2 linked regions of the Alligator mississippiensis genome follow. Each later gene encodes a partner of the first gene's protein in a complex. Links are inferred from orthologs where the notes say so. Each region holds a gene or a part of one and is shown on either strand. Other genes may lie near its edges.

Region 1 (8,044 bases):
GTGGGGCAGCCATTGACGGGACTGGGAGAGTTGGTGGGGGATGAGGCCTGTTTGATTTGGAGATTCAGCCGATTTGGTGGTAGACAAATCTCCGAATCAGATTTGTCCAAATCGCTTTGGGACAGTGATTTGAATTGCCAAATTGAATTACTGCCCCCCCCCCAAATCAGCCGAATCCAAAGTGAATACTAGCTGTTTTGCACAGGCCTACTTGTTACCCTTGAATTAATCCTATCAAGTCTACAGAAATCCAGCTTACCTTTCCATCCTTCCATATGCTTTGTGCTTCATTAGTGTTTGCTACAAACATCTACCCAGTCATCTTCCATCTGGTGTGTGAGCCCTACAGCAAATCATTTGTTCCCCTTGCACAGACTTGGTCTCCTGGTTGCTACTGTAAATTCACAATAGTCCTGGGAAGCTGTAATTGCTGCAAAGCCCCCTCACTAGATAAAGAGATCTGGTTTTATCCCATTTCCTGTGGGAACTGTAGGGTCCATCTTTGGACTTTGGCTGAACTGTGAGGTTGAATCGCACATTTCCTTGGATTGTGCAAACTAATATACACCAATTTGTGTTTGGAAGCAATTTCTGGGAGTTTCTTATGATAGCAATGTGAGATGCTGGGGCCAGGCCAGAAGCCTTGGCCTAGGCCCAGGCCAGAAGCCTTGGCCTAGGCCCCTTTGAATTCACCCCAAGGTCTGCTACTAGTTCATAGCTCCTTGTGTGAGATTATTCTAGCTGTGAGTGGGGGAAGCCTGCTCAGATTGAGCTCTTCCTACCCCACTGCACAGATGAGAGCGAGAGACTGTGACTGCTGCAGGCACCTAACAGCTCTGGCTCCCAGGCCTGTGTATCCACAAACACAACCTCCCCCTTAGTTAACGGTAGTGTTTTTGCTGTGCCAGCCCCTCCCATCTACAAACGTTCCCCAACTGTTCTCTATGAACCCATAACCTGTTCCTTCCTTTCTCTGGCCAGTCCTTGCTCTTCATCCACCAGGTTTCATTCCCCTCCTTTTGTGAACTCTCTGGTCCCTCGCCCCGCCACCCCAAGTCCATGCATCTCAGAGGCTTAATGGGCACATCCTGGGTTGGGATGACTTACTGTTGAATTTGGGTATGTTCGGGCAGTTATGCTGGCTGCTGCCTCTCCGCAGCTGGCCTCACCTCCCTTGAATTAACTGGAAACAATTAAGATTAATCAGTAAAATATTCTTAAACCAAAAATAAACACGTTTCACAAGGATTTAAATAGTTCTTGGTAAATTGCCTTAAAGTCATACTTTATGTTAACCCAGCACAACAATTTAATGTAGACACAACCTGTTAGTATGGTATTGCTAATCCAAACAGGCAAACAAATGAGTCTAGTTTCCCAAATCAGAAGACTGGTTTATGACATTTTTGTTTAATACATTTTAATTTTTTTATATCTGGCTACCAGTTTTAGAGCTTTTAGAAGTGCGCCTACTTCACATTTTCAAGAGAGAGCAGGAGCTGACTGTGCTGCTGCTGAAATATAAGGTGGAGCGTAGTTTTAGATATATGTGTTAGGGTGTGGTGTGATTTTTTTTTTTTAATTACTAAACTATTTATACATGTAGAGACTCTAGTATGATCATAGCAAGTCTTGTGTAAAGGTTTTTGTGCCTGAGAAGCTTTTTTCATTTCCATTATGGAGCATATCAGTATAACTTGTCCCCACTAGGGGGAGTTGTTCAACTTCAGCAATATCTGTATAGATAAAGCCATATGGATTTTTCAGGGAAACATCCTATGAGATATTTTATCTAGAATATTTTTCTGCTGTTCTGCAGTGTAGACATTAGAGGGAGCAGAAGATACAAGAAATCCAGCACTGTAGCAGATTCTGTAAACAGCACCCTCAGGATCTCCTTTGCTGCTGCTATAGTTCTGCTGCAGTCATTCACTCCAATACAAAACAAGGGCAAACCATTGCTGTTCTGATTTGGTAGCATATTATAGGTACTTTTCATTCATCTTGTGCTGGTGTAAATATCTACACAAGGCACTGAGAAATTAGGCCAGGCTTAGAAAATTTAGGTTAGTGCATTGTTAGGCCTTTTCTGAACACAGGTGCGCAGGTTTAACTAACTTAAAGCCTCCTTTTTAAAACAGTTGCCAAACAACTTGCATTGATTTAATGCAGTAAGGAACTGACTTAAAATAACACAGATCAGCTCTCATGTGATATAAAAGTGCATCAGTATTGATGATTCTTATGCATTTACTGAGTGATTCTTTTGATATTTGGTGCTTTTTCTTGAAAGAGTCACAGAGTCTCTACTGAGGAAAACCCAGGCTGTAGATGTGTTCCCTCGGTGAGGTCAGGCCATGATAAGTGTTCTCTTTCACTCTTCTGCACAACTTGTGCTGGTGGGGTAAAAGGTTTTGGAACCAGAGAGCAGTGATTATTAGTCAGCTCTGCACTTTGACTACTTGGAGTGCCTTATAGAAGGGAGTGGAAAATCACTGTATTACAGCAGCCCCTGGTTACATATGCCTGCACCCTATGCTGCATCTTCTCATAGGGGATATCAAGATATGTGCCAAAATCTTGAGTGCCTAATCCTTCAGCTATGTTCAGTATCAGCAAGAAAAAACAAAATTTGCTTTTCATCCTTACCCCCACACTGTCCCTTGGTGGTATGGCCAAGACCTGCACCCCTCCTTAAAGCAAAAGGACACCTCTGAAGAATGTTTTCCCATGATGGTGATCCCAGCTGGAGGGATGGAATGGGTGCTGGTACTGTCCCAGGGTCTGAGCCCCAGCTCAATATGTGCATTAGCTCTGATTTTGTGTAAGCCATAAGGTCTTTGTGCACAACCAGCCGCCTGTTTACCGTAGCACAAGGCTTATAGCTCTTGAGCTTTCAAGCAGTCAGTCTGCACTTTCAGACACCACTGAATCGTATTCCTGGAGTCAACAGAATTTCCCCTGCTAAGGGGTAACAAGAGAGCATCAATTTGTAGAAATAAATGAACAGATGGCATTTACACTTGACTGGAGATTGCAATTACTGCAGGGCTGGATTGGCCCTTTTACAACAGTGCCTGGCTAGGGACAGAAGTTTCTGCAGGGGAAACCCCTCTAGAGCTTTCTCTTTATTCATCCAATCCCCTCAAGAGCAAGCAAGTATCCTGCTGAGGGGAGGACCAACCCGGCAGATCGTCCTTAACAGTGGACTTGTGCCTTTATCTCTGAGCTTCCAGGTGACTTCCATCTCTGGGACTTTTTGAATTCGTGGCTCCCAAGCCTGAAAGTCCCCCCAGCTATATCTCTGCAGAGCCAATGTTCATCATCTATTCATGCTATTTCTCCAGAGAGTTCTCCTGAGAATCTGGAAAGTAGCAGATGCCTTCTGCAGGAATAGCAAGGAGGCCCCAGGGGCATGACTGAATCCTTCGTTAGTGAACAGCACAGTAGTGAGGGAAGGAGCAGGTAGGTGCTTTTTCACCAGTAATTCAAGATTTTCCCCTCATTGTTCATGAAATCTTTCTGAAATCTATTCCTTCCCAATAGACTGGCTGACTGTATTTAACAAACATTTAGGACTCATTCATATTTGCTCACATGGAGGTTTTTTTGTTTATTTTTGCTGATTTCACTGTACTTTGGATAAGATTCTCAGTTACTGTGGAGATTTCCCTTGATTTTGATAGGCTTTGAATCAGGCTTTGGAGTATGAGCCTCATCCACAGTTGTCTGCCCAATAGTCTAGGTTTCTTCCCATCCTATGGGATTTAGGATTCAGTTGAGGATTCCCAATTAATTGCCTTCATTGCCTCATTTGTGAGTTGCCACATTTGTGAGTTAGCGAGTCAGCTTCAAGAAAGAACAATTCGTTATAGAATTAGCTTTTAGAGACGGTTGGATGTATCTGCATGATCTCTGACTCTTCAGAAACCGTTGTATGCTACTAGCTTTGCAACTAAGCCCCTACGCTTAAAGTAGAAGCATGCTACTTACCATCTCCCAGGTCTCCTGCTCTTGTTTCTTTTAATAGTACAGAAGACCCATCAGTCAGTATCTTATTGTCACTCAGAGCCTGGTGCGCATACACTTATCAGCGACAAAGAAGGAAACTGGCTTTTTCATCTGTGTCTGCTACAAAAAGGCCTCATTGTATTTTATTGGGTAAAGGGTGGGGTGCAAACAGAAGAGTGAACGAATTAACACAACAATTTTTATGTATTACTTTAAACATGTGACCCAATTCATAGCTGCACTGAATTTAGACCTAGTGGAAGAAAGTGAGGTGCGTGTAAAACAAAAAAAAAAGAAATCAAAGCCTGTTCTAACCCTGTGAACCCCAAAATCCTGTGCATCCTATTTTGAAAATGTTAGCAATGGAGTAAAATAAAAAGTAACCTTCCTTTAAAAAACAATAAGGTACCCTAACAATAAGGTAAGCAAACCTGAAAGCAAAGTCATATGCCAGCCAGCCAGAGCCAAGTCTAGAACACTTAGTTTGGCACTCAGCAATAATTCTGCACAAGCTTCCCTGACTATTTAGCCTGGATCTTACCTGTCGTACAACTACCAATTATGTGGTGGTTCAGAATGTAGAAAAAAATTTACCTTCAACAGTGACTAGGGGCCTGACCCAGAAGCCACTAAAATAACTGGTGGCTGGTCAGGACCTAGGAACGTAACAACCCCACAGCTCATTCATTCTGTTCAAAGGTAAAAAGTCAGATCATTATCCCATAATAATACTGATTCCTCCCCTGCAAACTGGGTTTTCAGAGCCTAAATGTTTTTGACTTGGTGTTGCAGGGCACCTTGGTGCCCTGCTCCTAGAGAGTGGAAACTACCAGGGAGAGAGAGCAGGACATAACGAGCACAGCTGCAGGTTGCCAGGGCAACTGGAGGCAGCGAATGACTGACACCTGACAGTGGTTAGTTGGCTGTAAGGGGCAAGGCCTGGCCCTTATAAAGCCCAGAGCTGAAGCCAAGCTGGCAGTTCTCTGCCAGCGGCCGGGGAGGCAGGAGATCCTGGAGCTAGGATGCGAGCATTGTGGGAACCGCTCTAGCTGAGTGAAGGAGGGCAGCTCAAAGAGGTTTGATCACCATGGTTTAGCCAGATGGCTTATAGTTATGTTGTAGCCTAGGGGCTTGTGGTTTTGTTGTTGTTTATTACACCGGTGGCTAGGGTGAGGCTATTAGGGGTTGGAGGAGGCTTCATAGGGAGCCCCAGGGGGGTGCGGGCCCCAGCGCCAGTGAGGGGGCAGTATTATTAGGGAGCCCCAGGGCGGGCGCGGCAAGCCCTGAGGAAGGCCTAGTGCTGCAGTAAACCCCGGAGAAGGGCGGTGTACTGCGGTGAACCCTGAGAGAAAGGGGGTAGCAGTGTGGTGAGCTCTGGAGAGCAGGGCTAGCAGTGCGGTTGGGCCTGAAAGACAGGTGGCTTGACGAGAAGTCCCAGAGAGGGTGCAGAAGTCCCCAGGAAAGGGGGCAACATTACAGGGAAGGCCCCAGAGAGGGGCAACATTACAGGGAGCCCCCGAGTGGGCTCGGAGAGCCCAAGAGGGGGGGCAGCATGACAGAGGAGGCCCAAGAGAGCGGGCAGGTGTACACAGGAGGCCCCAGAGAGGGGTGACATCACAGAGAAGGCCCCGAGGGGGCTTGGAGAGCCCAGGAGGGGGCAGCATAACAGAGAAGGCCCGAGAAACGGGCATGAATATAGGCAGAGACACACCAACATCTATTCCATCTGCGAGGCTTGGGGCGTGGTATCGGGGGTGGCTGGAGCCACGTGTAGCTCATAAGGCTAGGGTGCCTGGGAAGCACCCATCATACGAGGAGACCCCTGGTGGGTCCGGGAAAACACGGGGACAGAGGTCCCAGCTAACTGTGCCCAAGGAGACGTGAGGCAGCCTCCCAACTTAACCTAACATCAAAGACGTGGTGGGTAAGAATAGAGGGTGCCCTTGGGCTGATTTGGCACGGAGGAAGGGGCCTCAAGGAGTTCACGGCCCTCCTGTAGGACCCCCCCGTGACACTTGAGCTGTACTTACAGGCACAAAAGAGCTTATGATTTCATTCCAACATCCAAAATCACACCCCCTCTCGCTCCTTCAGAATAAATAAGGGTCCCTCTGCCTTAGGCTGTTAACACTTTTAAATAAAGCTTCTGCCCCACTCCCCCACCAAAAAAAAGATGAAAGAGATCCGTTGCTCCAAAAGTATAGAGCAATATGTGATAGAAAAGCAATTGCGTACACAGTAATGTGATTCCATAAAGTACTTTTCATACATAATTTTTAAAGCATTTTACAAAACAAGGCACTTCTGTTGTCTGCATTTATGGATGGACAAAATTATGCATAAGAGCACAGGAAAGTGATTTGCACAATGCTCTCCATCAGTTCAGTGGCAAGGACAGGAACCAAACCTGGGACTGTGCCAGTACTCAATTAGTCTTTAACATACAACTGATATTGGTGGTCATTTTCAACTTAAGCACCTGACCCAGGGGTGGGCAAAATGTGGCCTGCCAGGCCATTCTATCTGGCCCATGGGGCCCCTAAAAAATTGAGAAAATTAATATTTATCTGCCCTGGGCTGCCTGTCATGTGGCCTTCAATGGCTTGCCAAAACTCAGTAAGTGGCCCTTTGCCCAAAATAATTGCTCACCCCTGTACTAAAGCCTCTGGGTCCCCAGAAAGTACAAAGCTAAGAATAATTCAGACATTTGATGGAAATATTCAGGGATCTGATTAAATAAATATTTTATTTATGTATTTATTTTAGTACATAGTGAAAAGTAACCACACAACAATAAGAGTCACTGAAAGTTACTTTAAGATATTTATATAGTCAATGTAGGGAAAAAGGACATTTTACTTAAAGCCCAACACCTAGAGAATAATGAACTATTCTGTTGGTGTTTTCTTCATTGCTTCTGTGCAATAGCCTTTCTAAATCACATTTGTTTAGTCCATGTTAAGAACATGCAACATTCCAGGTGGAGGGTTCTTTTGTGACTGTGATCTATCTGGATTTCTGTACATACTTGTTCCATTGGAGCTATTGGTAGTTGTGTTCCAGATTATTTGTACATTATCCTGAAGACCTTATCTATATTATCTTTTCCCTTAACATCTCTCCTGTTTACATTAGCAGCAGTATAACACCACCATGGGAGCACTTCTCTAGACCTGACATTGTTATTGTATCACAGTGCTGTCAAATCCCACTCGCTATGGGCATTTATATATGTGCACCAGGGAAGGGGGGAGGAGGGAGCAGAGCTGCTTTAATTAGAGCGACTCCAAGAACCACTCTTATTAAAGCACCTGGAGCATTATGTGTGCCAGTGTCCCCATGCTGAAAAATGGCAGCAGGCACCTCCTAGATCCTGTTATAGATTCATAGATGTTAGGGTCGGAAGGGACCTCAATAGATCATCGAGTCCGACCCCCTGCATAAGCAGGAAAGAGTGCTGGGTCTAGATGACCCCAGCTAGATACTCATCTAACCTCCTCTTGAAGACCCCCAGGGTAGGGGAGAGCACCACCTCCCTTGGGAGCCCGTTCCAGACCTTGGCCACTCTGACTGTGAAGAAGTTCTTCCTAATGACCCATCTAAATCTGCTCTCTGCTAGCTTGTGGCCATTGTTTCTTGTAACCCCCGGGGGCGCCTTGGTGAATAAATACTCACCAATTCCTTTCTGTGCCCCTGTGATGAATTTATAGGCAGCCACAAGGTTGCCTCTCAACCTTCTCTTGCAGAGGCTGAAAAGGTCCAGTTTCTCTAGTCTCTCCTCGTAGGGCTTGGTCTGCAGGCCCTTAACCATACGAGTGGCCCTTCTCTGGACCCTCTCCAGGTTATCCGCATCCTTCTTAAAGTGTGGCACCCAGAATTGCACGCAGTACTCCAACTGCGGTCTGACCAGCGCCCGATAGAGGGGAAGTATCACCTCCTTGGACCTATTCGTCATGCATCTGCTGATGCACGATAAAGTGCCATTGGCTTTTTTGATGGCTTCGTCACACTGCCAACTCATGTTCATCTTGGA
Region 2 (7,343 bases), on another chromosome or scaffold:
GATACTGTCCTCTGAGTACAGACAGCTTCACTTAAAAGACACCCAGATCCATTCTGATGGGGAAGTTCCCAACAGGAGAGCTGCCATGACAATAACTAAGCCACATGCATATTTATATAGTGATGTGCAACAAGGAAAATTATATGGCCATTATGTGGATTGTGAAAGGTGCCTTGCTAAAGAAATACCATTATACTTGTAACTTTCTCTCTCCAACTTTCTTTTCTTTTTTAATATATCCAACCTTCTTTCAATCTGCTCTGTGTACAAAAGGTTGCTTCCTAAAAGATCAAGGCTGAGACTCAGATGTTTCAGGGAATTATAAAAGGCCACTCCTACATACGCCCATGTGCCACCACCTTCTGCTACTTTAGCAAGACAGGTGAAATTATATGTGCAAGGCAGGAAGTGCCATGTCCATATCTGAAAACCAGCAGCAATGAGCTAGGGGAACGGGCTATTTTTGTTAAGTATAATTTCCCTACCCTCTTGCTCCTTCCAGGGTATGAGACTTGGTTACCTTAAACCACTAAATGGTTACCTTAAACCACTAAATACAGCTATCATCCAGCTCAATGTGAAGGAAGCCCCCCTCATACACAGCAAAGTAGCCCTGCATACCAAGCTGTCAAACTACTGTCATTCTAGAGTACCTTTGCCTTTGGGTGCTGGCACCCTGGCAGCACGCATGTCTGCAGAACTAAGAAAACAGGACCTGACCTACTTCCTGCCTCATCATTACCATTTCAAGTGCCTCTGCAGGGTTGTGGCAGAAATGCACTTCCTTTTTCTGAAATGGGGAAAGCATCTAGTAGGGAAGCTAACCACTTGCTAGTTTAAGCAGGCAAAATGGCAGCTGCAAACAGTGTTTGTGTAGAAATAGTTCACAACAGCCAGAGCAGTGCTTATTCAAGGTAAGAAACTAATTTAGCCTTTATCCCCTCCAATGGCAACCCGAGTTTGGAGATGCAATAACCTAGGCCTGGTTGTTTTGCTGAGGCCATGTGTTAGAATCCAGGCCCCCCACTCTAACTCAGGCTGAAACCAAACCACAGCAGTGAGGAAACGGGCTACATCACTTCTGTTTTTTTTAATAATTCAAGTGTCCCCCCCCCCCCCGCACTACTGACTCGTAATGAAATCTAGGGCGTTTCAGCCCAAAGACCAGTTTCAATGACAGATCCTTTTGTGCATTCCAAGTCATTATTTTGAAGAGGATTTTGCTTCTGCTGTAAAATAACCCACTACTGGTATCTATTTTATGCCACAGCGACCAAATTCTGTCCGTTCTACTTCATTATCAACATTTTATATTGTAGTCTTCATTAAAAAAAGTAGGTAATCATGTTTCAAAACAATCTGGTTAAATCATACCACTATATCCCACTACTGACTTAATTCTGCATTAATGAAGTGAACAGGTGCTGGACTAGAGGTTGCTGTCTGCCTACATTTAAGTCACTGATTATCAGTGACTCAGAAACATCACTGGAAGAGATAGTTACGGACCTTCAGAGGTAAACTTGCATGCAGCGAAACGCAGAGTTGGGGCCTAGGTATGCTAGGCAAACCTACCGAATCAGCTGTTAAGCTAGGTTTAAAAAAAGAACGGCCCGATGAGGAAACGGAGTGAAAGCAGAAGACTGCGGCTGCTTCTTTCTGCTGGCTTGGCAAAATCAAATCCACGCAACACAAGACCTGAAAGCATCTCTGACATTTACTTCTATTAGTTGCCAGTCTTCTCATCTGTAATATTGCCTGTACAGTAAAGCCACTGAGGAACAGCAGAGCAAACCATCCTTTCCTTGTCTAGTGACGCTAATGAGTTTAGAAAGAATCGTGACTTAAAAAGCCTCATTTAAGACGCAACCCCTCCTCCCCCAAAAGCTATTTTTATTTTACCAGTAGAAGTAATGCTCGATTATTTATTTAAAACAGAGATTTCTTCCCCCTATCTGTTTGCGTGAGACAGACAACCCTCTAGGGCTACTCGAGCGTTGATGTTTCTCCTGTGCAACCACTTGTTCCTCCCATTGACGAAAACAATCCCAGGGCGTTTTTAAAATAAACGAACGAAGGACTAAACAAATACATACAACTCAGGGCCCTGGTAAGAGCGACAGGAAACAAACCAAATAATCGGACAAGGTGAGGGCTGAAAGGGACCTCAAGGGGCTCGACGCGGGACCATCGGGAGCACCCTCCGGCGAGCTGAAGGGCTTTGAGCTGGTTTGAAAAGGGGCGAGATTTCAACCCATCTTTCATTGCGGCAGCAAGCGGGGGAGCCTCGCACCCGACTGCAGAGCTGGGACCAGGCCAGACGCTGCATTTCACATCTGAAATGCAGGAGGGGCTCTTTGGCTTGCCAACGGTTCGGCCGGGATATCCAGGAGAGCTGGAAGCGAGGCCGAAACAGGCTAGAGGCCTCCCCTTGCGTCGCTCGCTTGCCTTTCGCGTCAGTGGGACTGTGGCAGTGTGTGATCCATCCAGCCAGGGAGCCGTGCACCAAGCCCAGGTGCGGCTGGCGGGGTCTTTGCTCGGCTGGGGACGAAGAAACAAGCTTGCAGACCAAGAAAAGTGCTCGCCTCTTGCGTTGGGTTTGGGGGGACGTCCCCAGCATGAAGCCAGAGACCCCGTCCGCCGCACCTGGGCAGGGGCTGGTGTTTGTAGCGCGCTGCTTGCTGAAATGAAAGACCAGTGGTGTTGACAACGGGTCAAACCTAGTCTCGGGGCCGCTTCTAGCGCTGCCTGAGGCTGCTCGTGCTCCCGGCCGAGGCACTGGATTGATTCCTTCGTTGGTTTTATATCTATTTTTTGGGGAGCTGGTGCCACAGGAGCGGAGAGGGGCCCGGCCCCGCGACAAGCCCCCGCCACTAGCGATGCGGGCGCAAGAGGGAAACCCCCGAGACCGCCCTACCTTCTCCTCATCCGACACCCGATCCTCCAAGTCCGCCATCTTGACTCCACGGCCGCCGCCGCGCCGAGCACGCCGGGAACCGCAGCGTTGCCGGAACCGGATACTCTCCCCACCTTGGTGAAGCTGCCCTCGCCATCTTGGGAGTGGGCAGCTGTGTGGGGGAAGGGCATGTGAGGCGCCATTTTGGTGGAGGGCATTGCTGAGGAGCAAGGAAGCCGCCGCCGCCATTTTGGGAGTGGGCAGCTGTATGTGTGGGGGAAGTGGAATGTGAGGCGCCATCTTGGTGAAGGGCATTGCTGAGGCGCGAGGAAGCCGCCCCCGCCATCTTGGGGGTGGGCAGCTGAGGGGAGCTAAGTGTGCTTGTATGGCTCCGAAGTAGTAGCCCATGTAAACGCGCTGCCCCCGCCCGCATGGAACCAGACGCAGCCTGGCTGCCCTATTGCTAGCCTCTCTCTTGGGAGAAGGACAAGGCGGCAGTTATTCCTTCACCAACCGTGCCATGAATGTAACGTGCAGCGAGGGCCGGACCTGCCAGGCGGGGCCCAGGGGCGCCTCTCAGGCCGGCCAGTGCCCTCTGCAGAGTGGGCAAAGCGACAGCCCCAGGCACTGTCGGGCGCAGCCGTGACTGGGCTCTGCTCCCGACCCGGGCAGGGGGACGGCAGCAAACCCACGGGGCCACGCGCCCCCCCCGAGCGGTGCAGCACAGGCCCAGGCCCTGCCCAGGGTGGGTGCCGCCGGCCCAGCGCCGCTTGCTCGTGGCGCTTGCGACCGCTGCGGGTGCTGAGGACAGGCCGAGGGGAATGGGCGTGTTCAGACTGCAGAAGGGAAGACTGAGGGGACTAGATAGCAGGAGGATGGAGCTGCCCTGGCCTCGGTGGGGACGGACGACCGCACAAGGAGCAACGGGCTCACGTTGCAGCAAGGGAGGTTGAGGTTGGATATTAGGGAAAACTCCCTCGCTCCGAGGTGGTGAAGCACGGGACAGGCCCCCCAGAGCGGTGGTGAGTCTCCATCCCTGGAGGGGTTTACCACCCGGGTAGACACGGCTTTGTGTGGGACGACGTAGCTGGGGCCGGCTCTGCCTGCAGCAGGGGTGGGACTGCGTGCGACTCCCAAGGAGAAGGATCCAACCCTCATTTTTGTGTGATGATGTGACTGCTCTCCATGGGGCAGACGGCAGCACGCGGGGCCACGGGCTCCGGCTGCAGCGGGGGAAGCTGAGCTTAGACATAAGGAACCACGTCCCCAGCAGGAGGGCCGTAAAGGTCCCCAGGCAGGGGGTAAATCTCCACCCTTGCAGGTGTTGAAAACCGGGGTGGACGCAGCTTTGTCTGGGGTGATGTAGCTGGGGCTGGTCCTGCTTGGCTCAGGGGTGGGACTCCCCTGGGGCAGGATGCAACCCTCCCTTTTGTGCAGTGCTGCATCACAGGGGCAATGGGCTCCAGCTGCAGCAGGGGAAGCTGAGCTGGGAGATGAGGAACCAGTTTCTCAGCAGGAGGGTTGTAAAGCTCCCCTTGGGGGTGTTTAAAACAGGGGTGGACGCAGTTTTGCCTAAGATGAAGTCGCTGGGGCTGGTCCTGCTTGGAGCAGGGGTTACACTAAGTGCGCCTCTCAAGGGGAAGGGTGTATCCCTCCCTTTTGTGCAGTGCTGCAGCACAGGGGCAATGGGCTCCAGCTGCAGCAGGGGAAGCTGAGCTGGGAGATGAGGAGGGTAGTAAAGCCCCCAGAGAGGGGGTGACTCCCCATGCCTGGAGGTGTTTGGACGGGGTGGGGACAGCTTGCTCTGGGATGAAGCAGCTGGGGCGGGGGCTGCTGGGGGCAGGGTGCAGCCCGCACGTGTGTGCAGGGAGAGGAGTGCTGCCCGGGGGCTCGTGCCGGCGCGGTGCGAGGCGGCCACGTGCAGCCGGCGGGGCTCGCGCTGATTGCGGCGCTGCCTATGGAGGCGCTGGCCGGGCTGCGGCTGGCTCCGGCTGCCGTGCCCCCGCCCTCTCCCTCTCTCTCTCCCTCTCCCAGGGTTCCCGGCTGGGCCATGGCGGAGAGCGGCGGTGTCGGCGGCGGGGAGGCGCGGTGTCGGCGGCGGCTGCGGCGGGGGGCGGCGGGGCTGGCGCTGCTGGCCGCCCCCGCGCTGCTCTACGCGCTGCGGGACAGGCTGGCGGCCGGTGAGGGCTGTGGGCCCCCAGGAGGGGGGGAGCGGGGCAGGGCCCCGACGCCTCCCAGAGAGCTGGCATGGGGGCACCCGCGTCCCCCTCCTCCCCGCATGGGTGCCGTGCACTCGCAGGGGCGGCCCGCGCAAAGGACCGGGGTTCGCTCTTCATGCAGGGCCGAGACGAGGTTTTGGGGACAGGCCCCTCGAATGCCAGGCTTGGCAGCGTTCACGGGGTCCTGCTTTGTCCCGTGCTGGTTTCCAAAAACACGTACGAAATATCACGATGAGCGTGCCAGGCAGGTGGTTCCCTTGGATCTTAGGAGAGGCTGGGGCAGCCCCCCAAAAAGAGGGATTTGCTGCGTTTCCAGGGTGGCCATCCTAAAGGACATTCTGGTTTTCTTCTGCTCTGTTGATACAAAACCCGACACCTCTGAGCCCTTTATTTTAAGAGAAAAATAGAGGGCGTAACGGTTTCATATCTATAGACGACAGCCACACAGTTCTCTCTGATAGTCACCCCACGTGTTTCTGAAACCACACGTCTCACCGTTCAAAGGGCCTCCTGCGGTTACGGGGTGGCACGTGTGTATGGACTTACTGCCGGCTGCTTTCGAGCTCACCCCACCGATCCTGCACGTATTGGGGGGGCAGATCTGTCTCTGCCGCGTGTCCATATTGCGCGTGGAACTGGAAACGTCCCCCAGGCCTGCTTTCGGGTTTATTTGAGCCACGGTAGATTGTCTTTGTGAATCTGTACATAACGTCATTGGCCACAACCACGTACAGGCTGAGTGTGCTGGCTTCCCAGCACCCGTGGTTTCAGCTTGGCTTGGGGTGTCACCTGGTACTGGGGGTTATTGGAAAAACTAAATGCTGTACGGCACCCCACCACCATGCTCCTAGTCTGCTTTATTGCCTGCAGACACGTTTAAAATTGCCTCGATAGGTTGTTTCCGAAGCATGTAGGAGTCTCTGAGGTGTAGGAAGCACGACACCCATCCCGATTAGCGTTTAGAACGGTGCAGCGAAAAAGGGACGATGCAGGAGTTTTCTAGGTGAAGGTCTAGCAAAGGACAAGGGTTTCGTGACTTTGCAGTAGTCACAAGTGTCATTAAAAATTGAAGGGACCCTGGATGGCCGTGCTTGTGGCTGAGCTCGTGAGGCTTCAGGTTTATTGTCATCAGCTGCCTCTCCTTCCCCTCTTTAATGGGACAGGGGTTCATTAATTAGCACCTGGGCCTGCTGCTTAGCGTTCCCTGTTCTGCCTCCTCTCAGAGAGGTCACTTCCACAGTAGACAACGCGGTTGGGTTTTTAGCCCAGAGGACAGTGTCTCTTCAGAGGTGTGAAAGAGCTGTTATTTTTGCAGGACATCTTTTGCCACTATGAACTCTGATGCAGGTGTGTGACTTTCCAGTGAAAGTCAAATAAGCTCCTCCCAGGACTGTTGCCTCTTTATTTGAGATGCTGGAGTTTGTGCTGCTGCAGTTCTGCCTGTTTGCAACGCAGCAGACAATTTCTCTTTTCAGGGACTTGTTTCCTTGCTTTTAAAACATTAGCTGATGGTGAGGAACTGATGCTTCAGCGTTTTGATCAGAAGCTGAATACAAGAGTTGATTGGAGCTGGAAGAGCTATGCTGTTACTATAACAGCACCAGTGTCTAGAATAGCATTTTTTTTCTTAGTCTTTTTCCAACCTTATCTCTTTTATCAACAATTGAGACTTGTCTCTTTTCCTTCAGGTGTATTTCTCCCCTTGTTTTTTTTGAAGGTAAAGTGACCCTTCTTGCCAATCCCAGCTGTTGGCTATTTAAATCAGATTTTCTCAAGGCTATTTTCAACCTGCAGCTTCAAATGCAGCCTGACGGTAGTTGTTGAGTCCCAGTGCTAAACAGGTGGTGGGTGTGACACAGGTCTCCCCTTAGTGGAGCTGTCTGCCTCTAGCTTTCTCCCAGTTGCAGCTTCCCTGCAGGACTGGATTAGGGTTTAGAAAAGTATGTTTGCTCCTGAGTAGCAGTCTGAAAGACAGCATAGAAGCACAGAGGACCGCTCTTCTGTTGCACTGGAAATGGGTAAATAAAGGCAGGGGGTGTAAATCAGTGACTGCACTATGTGACCTAAACACATTCACTTTTGGCATGCTCTTTGTTGCAGTGGTTTTTGGATGTGGGATCCAGTTGCCCTTACTGTTAGTTCCCAGTGGCTGATGGCGTGCTGGACAAGACCATGTTCCTTTTTTCATTAGCAAACTTGTTGAGACTTAGTAGAAACTTGCATCAGAG

What was found. Proteins that work in one complex are often made in the same cells at the same time.
Region 2: the proteins of S100B (region 1) and CAPZA1 are in contact, whole or in part, in an NMR structure (PDB 1MQ1), measured with the Homo sapiens proteins. The link is inferred for Alligator mississippiensis from reciprocal best matches to the Homo sapiens genes S100B and CAPZA1. Residues at the interface, in NP_006263.1 of Homo sapiens: Glu46, Glu47, Lys49, Val53, Lys56, Val57, Thr60, Phe77, Met80, Val81, Ala84, Cys85, Glu87; in NP_006126.1 of Homo sapiens: Thr265, Arg266, Ile269, Asp270, Trp271, Asn272, Lys273, Ile274, Leu275.

The regions. Positions count from the first base shown.
Region 1 is NC_081827.1:188,578,351-188,586,394, forward strand, and holds the start of S100B (protein S100-B), read left to right. Parts: upstream 1-4,991; 5' UTR 4,992-5,087; intron 5,088-8,044. UniProt on the Homo sapiens protein: Small zinc- and- and calcium-binding protein that is highly expressed in astrocytes and constitutes one of the most abundant soluble proteins in brain.
Region 2 is NC_081837.1:44,706,726-44,714,068, reverse strand, and holds the start of CAPZA1 (F-actin-capping protein subunit alpha-1), read right to left. Parts: upstream 3,011-7,343; 5' UTR 2,957-3,010; coding exon 2,918-2,956; intron 1-2,917. Other genes in the region: ST7L (suppressor of tumorigenicity 7 protein-like), read left to right, coding at 4,947-5,076. UniProt on the Homo sapiens protein: F-actin-capping proteins bind in a Ca(2+)-independent manner to the fast growing ends of actin filaments (barbed end) thereby blocking the exchange of subunits at these ends.